Linked DNA regions of Oryctolagus cuniculus. The protein of the gene in region 1 purifies or fractionates together with the protein of each later gene. This does not show direct contact. Links are inferred from orthologs where the notes say so. Each region holds a gene or a part of one and is shown on either strand. Other genes may lie near its edges.

Region 1 (4,639 bases):
TCAAAAAGCACAAAAACCTCGGCGGCTTTTGGCGGCAGCCTCCCCCGCGCCCATGACCTCATGCTTTAAGCTCCCATACAGCCTTCCCGCGCCCTGTCCACACCCATGCTCCCGGGTGGGGGTGGGAAAGGGAAGGCGGCGAAGGGCCCGGGAGCGGGCTTTGGGGAGAGGGGCGCAGCGATTTCCCTTCTCGGAGAAAAGGACGGTGTTAACTTTCCCTCGTGCAAAAAAACCCGCTCGCTGTCTCGCGGGTCCTCCAGGGGACACACGCCTCGAACCCCGCTGGAGGTGATCTGCTCACTCAACTCTCCCAGGCTCGCGTTTCCCGGGACCCGCAAAGCCGCCGGGAGAGGTTGGGGCCACGGGGCTGAGTTCTCCCCGGTCTCAGATCCCGCTGGCGGGCGCGCCTTTGCGGGACCCAGGGGCTGTTCTGCCCTCACCCCCCCCTCCAGCACCCCGCCTCTCCCCAGGCCCGCGACGTCGAGGCTGGAACCCTCCGCTCGCCTTTCAGCCCGCGCCCTGCCCCCTGCTCGCAGCTGCTCTCGGGCTGGGTGCAGCGGTTTCCCCCGCAGAGGAGGAGGAGACAGCGCAAGGGAGCGACTCCGGGCTCGGGTTTCCGCACCAATGCCGAGCAGCCCCGGGCGGCCCCCGGCGGCCGGCCCTCCTCCCCGGCACCACGTTCCACAGTCATGGCGCGCGAGGAGGGGCGAGCGCGCGCCCGGCCGCACCCGCGCCCCCGCCCCTCGCCTCGCCGCCGGCCCCGGCCCCTCTCCTAGGCAACCTCCCTCCCCGGCCTGCTGCGCCGCCGAGACGGAGACCCCTCCCCAGAGAGCTGCCTTTCCAGCCAGCGCCGGCTGCAGCGCCCCCTCCCCGCCCCCATCGGGGCGGAGGGATGGAGCCGCGCGCTCCGCGAACCTCCAGCCCCTTCCCCGGAGCCCCAGCCCCTCTCGAGCCCCACTGAGGCCCGGGTGCGGCGGGGGTAGGCGAGGACTGTCTCCTCGCAGCCCGCCCACACCTTGGCATCTTTGCAAACCTATATATATATATAAAATAAAGCACACCCTCCCCCCTCCCGCCCTGCCTCCCCGCCATCCTCGTCCTTAGATTGAAAAGCGCGTTACAATAACCGGGACGGTTACGCAGGAAGCAATCCTGCACTGGTCCGGGTCTAAGGCGGCAGCTTCCCGGCCACGCTGCCGGCTCCCGGGCCTCGATTTTCCGGCCATGCCGGAGAGCCTGCGGCACCGCGGGGCTGACAGGTCCGGCACGGGGCCGCAACTGGGCCCAAGTCCGCCGTCCCATCCACGTCCAGACTTGCCGGGCTACAAAAGGTGCAATCTCACGCACACGCAAGGCGCCCAAATAAACTCGGCAGCGCACCGCTGGGGAGGCTGCGAACAATGCACCCGGCGGCCCGCGCCCGGTGCAGCGCGGCGCCCCGGGGGACAGGGCCTGCGGGCGGGGGCCGAGGCGGAGGACCCGCCGGCCGTGGCGCTGGACACCTTACTTCCTGCTTCCCCGCCCGCGACCAGACCCAGCTCTGCGGAGGGATATCTCTCCCCTCCTCTGTCCCTCTCCCTCCCTCCCTTCCCCCGCCCCCCCCCCCCCAACGCCGTGCTTCGACTACCCCCCCAACACCCCGCCTTTCTCCTTTTGCAAGAAAATAATTTGACAGTCGATTTGCTGACAGGGGAGGAATTTGCATCCTGGATTTAAAAAAAAAAAAAAAGGCCGAGAGGAGCTTGGGAACGGTTGCTAGGGGTGGGTAATGGGTGAAAAGGGGGGGGTGTCGGGGAGCGGAGAAGGAGGGCCGAGGGAGGGGGCGAGGGTGGGGAGCGATGCACAAGGTAAGGCCAGGTTGCGGCGGCCCGGGCCCGAGTGGGCTGCGGCCGGGGGAGGGGCGAGAGATACATATGTATTTCTGTCTCCCCAGCACACCCCCTTGCCTAGCAGCGATGGCTGAGAGGCGGTGCATGCAGATGGGGAGTAAGTTTCCTGAAGGGGCGGGTGGCTGCACGCGCGCAGCCCCGCGCTGCCAATTTCCACCGGGGAGGGAGAGTGGCTGAATGCGGAGAGTTTGGAGTTGCTTGCGGCGGAGGGCAGGCAGGGGAGCAGGGCCGGGGCGGGGGGCTGGCGGGCGCTGTATCTGGGAGTAAGTTTCCAGGATCGGGAGAGCCTGCACGCTTGCTCGCTAGTAAGTTTCTGGCCGGGGAGGGCGCGTGGGGAGGAGGCGAGGGAGGGGTGCATGTATATAGAAGGGGGGAGGGGGGAGCAGATTTCCTGCGGGGAGGCTGAATGCATATGGAGAGTAGATTTCCTGAAGGGAGGGTGGCGGCGTACACGGACCGAGTTAAGTTTCTTGCTGGGGTGGTGGCGGTGGGGTGGTGCTCTGGCGACCCTGAGATTCCCACCCGGGGTGGGGTGGGGGAGCACGCTGTTGGGGGCGGGGGGAGAGGGCGAGAGGCCGGGCTCCCTGCTGGGGAGAGGGGCTTGCATCTGGGGAGTATGTTTCCTGGCGGAGCGATATTTGTTTACAGGCTGAGGGCAGTACTGTAAGTGAGTAGCTCTGCAAGGAGGCCGCTGACATAAATTAATATTGAAATTACTCCATCAGCTCTGCTCGCCCCCCGGCCCACCCCCCAAGAGGAGACTGGTCTTGTGGTCGGATTGCCCATGCACTTGTTGCAGAAACAGCCAAGGTAGGCAAAAAGCTTATTAAGTTTCATTTTGAAAACGTTAGTCGGGGGATGCTCCGTGAGAAGACGGAGGGGGGGTGTGTGTGCAGAGAAGGACATATGCCCCCCACCTGGCCCCCCGCCGCTTTACTTTTCCGTGTGTACGCAGGGCCTGCTCCCCTCTTCCCTCGCTGGGCTGCACGGCATCCCAGCAAGGGGGAGGGGTGAGGTGGCCGCTGTAATTGGCAACCCCGGCCTAAAGGGGGGTGGCAGTGGTGGGCTTGCAGTTGAAGGTTGTGATGTTATAAAGCCTTCATTCTTCCAGCCGAGAAACCGCAGGACCCTGGGGATGTGCCTTTTGGGGTTTCTGACATGATGCATGTGTGCATGTATATGCGCCTGCGGGCCCCGTGGGGGCTGGGTACTCCCCAGAAGTTAGTGCGGCCACCCAGATGGGAGAAACGTGCAAGGTGGGGGTCAGCTTGCCCCCTGGCGCCCCAACTTCGGTTTGGGAGGCCGGGAAGTTGGAGCCGGTGGTCTGCAGAAGTAGGTATTAAAACCAAAACCAAAGCGCCCATGTCCCGGCCGGCCGGCAGAGGCGGAGAGCACCTGGCAGGCGGCCTGTGGCCCGCGGTGGGCTGGATGGAGCATGTGCGCCCGGCGTGCTCAGGTTGAAGGAACGCCTGCGGTGCCTCGGTGTGCCTTCCGCCGGCCGGCGGGAGCCCGCGTTCTGCCCCCGACGGCGGGCAGCTCTGGGGAGCGAACGTGTTGAGACGGGGCGCCTCGCAGTGCGGCCTGGGTTGGTTTGCCAAGTGCGTGGAAGTCGTGCTTGGGAATGACCCTTCCGGGGGACAGCTCGGAACGCGCCCCCTGGAAGCCGAGGCAGGTTGTTCAGCAGGCCCGGGAGCAGAGTTCTGGGGGAGGAGTTCTGTGTTGTCCCAGTGAGTACCTGCCTTCTGCATCAGGTTCCCTCCCCCAGGAAGGAGTTCAGCGTCAGAAAATGTGGTTTTCAGGCCCCCTGGAAGGAGAGGAACAGGAGTCCTCCGGGCTGCCGGCTGGGTAGCCGGCAGGCGCTGCCTCCCCGGCCTGCTTCCTTGGCCCTCAGCCTCCTGGTTCCTGCACAGCAGTAGTTGGTGCTGGCCTCAGGAGCCTTGCCGGTGCTGGCAGCTTTAGCGTTGCCAGGATGGTTTCAGCGCTGGGTTCCGATCGAGAGATACTGGGTGGGGTAGACCGAAGTTGTGTAAGCTTTATTCAGTTCTGTAGATGGGCTCAGTTCTAGAAGGGAAAAACATGGGTTAAAAAAAATCTCTTTCCATGTAACTGATGGACACTGCTTTTTTTTCTCTTCTTCTGTCATCAGATTTCCAGATGAAGGCTTGATATTTGTCAGTTTGAGAACTGAGTTGGTTGTGAATTAAATATTATTGCTACTTATCAAATGATCCTAGCTAGGTATTAGTTAAGCAAATTAGCTATTATTCCCCCCCCCCCAAAGAAAATCTGTTTGCTGCATGTATATGCTGGGGGAGTTGACACAATCTTAATGTGTGTTTATTTCAGGGCAAAATTATTTACATGCCTAACCTCGAAGCCAAAAGCAATCATTCAGGTATATATATATATATATATATATATATATATATGAGATTTATTTTATTGTCTTGGTTTGGCCATTAATCAAGTCACAGTAGCTTTTTTTTTCTCTTCCACGGAGAATGTTCTTGTGGTAATAAAGGTTTGAAGGCCCATGAATCACAATTCATTCTTTTTAAAATATTGTGGTGATTGTCAGGATTTGATTTATAGGAATTGATACCGGGAGTGACACACCTCTTTGGGCCCCGCCCTTCTAGACATGTCCATTTTTGCCAAAGGGCTGTTTAGAAACCAGCTTGACATCTCAAAAAGAGCATTTCCCTTCTGCTTTATAAGCACTGAGAAGATTAATTTTGCAGGTTCCACAG
Region 2 (4,210 bases), on another chromosome or scaffold:
CTTCCCAGGCGCATTAGCAGGGAAGTAGATCTGAAGCAGAGCCGCTGAGACTTGAACCTGTGCTCTGATGCTCACTTTAACCTGCTGTGCTACAGCACTAGCCCTAGACTGTCTTATTCTTTTCCCCAGCATCTAGCATGAGGCCTGGGATATTGTTAAGTACTCTTTTTCTTGAGTAAGCTGCTTGTTGGGAATGGTGTATCCAGGAGAAAAGACAGGAGGCAGTGCTTTGTCCCATCACCAGATGAAACCCCCCCTCACCGGCCTCTGTTTTTTGCAGTGGGACCCGGCTCGGCTGAATGAATCTACCACTTTTGTGTTGGGGTCTCGAGCCAACAAGTGAGTCTAAGCTTTGGCACTGATGGAGTGGCAGCTCGGGGGTCTACTACTAGAGTTGCGCCTGCTGGAATCTTTACCACTTGTCTTTCCCTTTTCAGGGCTCTAGGGATGGGGGGCACCAGAGGAAGAATCTACATCAAGCACCCACATCTCTTTAAGGTGAGTGAGTGCCGGGAAGCAGGTGGGCCGCTGCCCTGGAGTAGGTGGCAGTGGGAATTCTGCGTGCCATGGAGAAGCTCGGGACACTCGCTGGTCTGGGAGTCGGGAGTCCCTTCTGCCATTCCCCTGTACCTTTTGTAATTTACTCAACAGCTCTGTGCCCTGGTAGCAATGGCTACTTGGCCTACATGTTTATTGTATGGCAAACATGGTTTTAAGTACAACACATTATCTCCTGGAACTATCCCTTATCTTTATTTTACAAATTTGAAAAAAGCAGAGGTCAAGAAAGACTAAGTGATTTGCCCAGAGTTACTCAGCAAGTCAGGATTCAAATCCAGGTCTGTCTACACTGAAGCCTGAGCTCTTAACCCCTACCTTACTCAGTTGTCTGTGGCGCAAGGCAGGGCTCTACCCTTCTTCCAAGGAGGGACTCCTCTCTGGAGCAGCTGTTTGAGGAAATAACAGGAGAAATCACAAATTCACTCATTGTCTTAAATGAATGTGTATTTTATCAGCCACAAAAGTATTTAAAAGAACAGAAAAATAGAAACGCATGTGTGTTCCAGACATTTTTTGTTCCTGTCCCTAAAGTTTGGTACCCCTTGCCAGAAGCTCCCAGCCCCGTTAGGGTCCCAGAATTACTGTACCTGCCACACTCTGTGCAAATTGGCAGACTTGCTTGCTCTTCTCCAGTCTTGGATCCTAGGAGTCCCAGCATCTAGAGAGGCTGGCAAGCTTGCTGCCGCTCTCTCCTCTCGGTGTCTTCACTCCTGCTGTTCTGTTTTCCTCCCCAACCCTTGTCTGCCCAACTACTCTTTAAGACCCTGAGTAGGTACTCAGGGGCAGGCGTTGTGGCGCAGGGGCTAAGCTGCTGCTTAGCCCACCAGCAACACCATAACAGAGTGTCTGGTTTGACTCCCAGGTACTCCATGCTTCCAGTTGACCTTCCTGCTAATAGGCCTGGGAGGCGGTGACTGATGGCCAGAGTACTTGGGTTCCTGCCACCCACATGGGAGACCTGGATGGAGTTCCTGGCTCCTGGCTTTGGCCCAGCCTCACATTCGCTATTGCAGCCTTTTGGGGATTAAACCAATAGATGGATGATCTGTGTCTTCCTCCTCTCTTTGTTACTCTACCTTTCAAATAAATACAAATCTTTAGGGGCCGGCATGGTGGGTAAAAGCTACCACCTGTATCGCCAGTGTCCCATACAGGTGCCAGTTCGAGTCCTGACTGCTGCACTTCTGATCCAGCTCCCTGCTAATATGCCTGGGAAAGCAGTAGAAGATGGCCCAAGTGCTTGGGTCCCTGCACCCATGTGGGAGACCCAGAAAGAAGCTCCTGGCTCCTGGCTTCAGACCAGCCCAGCTTTGGTCATTGTAGCCTTTTGGGGAGTGAACCAGAGGATGGAAGGTTCTCTCTCTCTCTCTACCTTTCAAATACATAAATAAATCTTTTTAAGCTAAATAAGTAAAAATAGTTTTAAAAAAACCCACATACCCCAAGAGATTTTTTTTTGTTATCATCTATAGATAGGATCTTGGATGGTCTGAATTCCTGTTCAGTTCTGAATTGTTCTGTCGTGTGTAAACCGGGAGTGGCAGACCAACCTTTTAGTGTCAATTAAGAGAGAATGCAGGGAAGCACTGGCTTAAGGCCTGCCACGTGGCACGGGCTCGGTAGAGGTTGATTGTTGTTAGCATAGTTTTCCAGTTCTAAGGCCCACCATTCATACTAAACTCCCAACCCACACTCTCATTCCTGATGGATAATTATTTCTGACCTTGCCCTTGCTTGTCAGGCACACACCCTCCCCACCCCCACCCCAGTCACCACTCCCTTTCTCTTTACAGTTCTCTATTATAAGCATTCTTAACCATTTAGAATCTATTTGTATTTCTTCTGGAAACTGCCAATTACATCTTGTGCCCAATTTTTCTGTCCTTCAGAAGACATTATTTGAATTTATCTTTTCCTTTTTTAGACTTTTTAAGTTATAGAAATATGACCCCATTCTTAGTGTAAAAACCTTCAGCGAGTACACTGGAGTTCCTTCACCCTTGACCCTGACTGCCCTCCACTCCAGACCACCCGCAGCCATGGCAGAGCATAAACACAGATATGGGCGTGTGTGTGTGTCCTTGTCCTGTGGGATATTTTGCTTATTATTTTTAGCTCATACATGTTGTGGTCTGGTTTTCCTTTGGGAAGCAGTAATAATCGTAATCATAGGTGTTGCAAGCCACCTCAGATGATTTATTAAAAGGGGAGGCCAGCATTGCAGTGGAGTAGGTTGCCCCCACCTGCAGTGCCAGCATCTTGTGGGTGCCAGTTTGGATCCTGGCTGCTCCACGTCCAGTCTAGCTCCTGGCTTCTGCCTGGCCCAGCCCTGGCCATTGCAACCATTTGGGGAGTGAACCAGTGAATGGAAAGTCTCTCTGTCTTCCTCTCTCTCTCTTTCTGTAACTCTGCCTTTCAAATAGATGAAATAAAACTTTAAAAAGGAGGCTGTAGTGGCTGGTGATGTGGCATAGTGGAGTAAGCCTCTGCCCACAACACAAGCGTCCCATGGGTGCTGGTTTCAGTCCCGGCTGCTCCACTTGCGATCCAGCTCCATGCCAATGCACCGGGGAAAGCAGCAGAAGGTGGCCCAGGTGCTTGGGGCCCTGCACCCATGTTGGAGACCCAGAAAAAGCTCCTGGCTTTGGCCTGGCCCAAACCTGGAAGTTGTGGCCATTTAGGGAGTGAACCAACAGATGGAAGATCTTTCTGTCTGTGTCTCCCTCTCTCTCTGTAAATCTGACTTTGAAGTAAATAAATAAATCTTAAAAAGAGGAGGCTCTAAAGTAATGGTCACCTGTCCCACTGGTTGCCAGGGAGATGTTTCGAGAAAAGAAGCAGTAGGGGGATTAGAAGTGTACTAAGTCTCAGGGAATTGGATCCCATGCCTTGGCCTCCTGGGCTTGGCTTGGCTTGCTCTGAAGGGGTTACTGGGCCTTCTGCGTCCACCAGGCTGGGTCTTACTGATCAGAACTGCAAGGCTAATGGCTCCCCTTTCACGCTGTTCTCCACAGTATGCAGCTGACCCCCAGGACAAGCACTGGCTGGCTGAGCAACATCACATGCGGGCAACAGGAGGGAAGATGGTAAGCACTGTTCCCACGCGCCACTGCCAGAGGCCACCTTCAGGGACCAAGATTCCCTCTGTCGGCGACAGCTCCTCTCCGAATCTGGAGACCCCCAAAGCCTGATACGTGTGGGAAGGAAGACTTTAAGGCCTGTTTCTCCATGGTCCCCAGGTTCCTTTCCCTGCCACTAGGGCTCCCTTTTTCTCCCTCCACGCTTCCACCCAGCCTTCGTATTTGGACCACACATTGGATCACATTAGCTTGCATAGGAATGACGGGTGAAAGACTCCACACCACTGTTCCCTCGTGTGCCACTGAGTGATCTTACTCATCAGTCACAACACCCTTCCCCCAAACACAGCTACAGGATCTTCTCTCAGTGCAGCGCACCAGCCAGCACCCTGTCGGTAGCTGTGTTTGCCACCCCTGGCAGCTGCTTCCAGACTCGCCTCTGATTAGAGTTCTAGGTCACAGCAAGCGACAGCCTTAGGAACATCGTTGTTGTGGGGCGCTTTGTCCCTCGCATGCAGTGTTCTCCCCCTGAGGACGGACCCCTGCTGCGACTGCTCGCTGCCCTGCAA

What was found. Proteins that work in one complex are often made in the same cells at the same time.
Region 2: the proteins of TRERF1 (region 1) and DNTTIP1 purify together in Homo sapiens (affinity purification with mass spectrometry; 3 studies listed by BioGRID and IntAct, with this or other methods). This does not show direct contact. The link is inferred for Oryctolagus cuniculus from reciprocal best matches to the Homo sapiens genes TRERF1 and DNTTIP1.

Annotation. Positions count from the first base shown.
Region 1 is NC_091436.1:127,490,579-127,495,217, forward strand, and holds the start of TRERF1 (transcriptional-regulating factor 1), read left to right. Parts: upstream 1-1,522; 5' UTR 1,523-1,761; intron 1,762-1,814; exon of another isoform or gene 1,815-1,986; intron 1,987-2,008; exon of another isoform or gene 2,009-2,194; intron 2,195-2,275; exon of another isoform or gene 2,276-2,349; intron 2,350-2,614; 5' UTR 2,615-2,699; intron 2,700-4,639.
Region 2 is NC_091442.1:13,583,423-13,587,632, reverse strand, and holds part of DNTTIP1 (deoxynucleotidyltransferase terminal-interacting protein 1), read left to right. Parts: intron 1-280; coding exon 281-339; intron 340-437; coding exon 438-498; intron 499-3,575; coding exon 3,576-3,647; intron 3,648-4,210. UniProt on the Homo sapiens protein: Increases DNTT terminal deoxynucleotidyltransferase activity (in vitro). Also acts as a transcriptional regulator, binding to the consensus sequence 5'-GNTGCATG-3' following an AT-tract.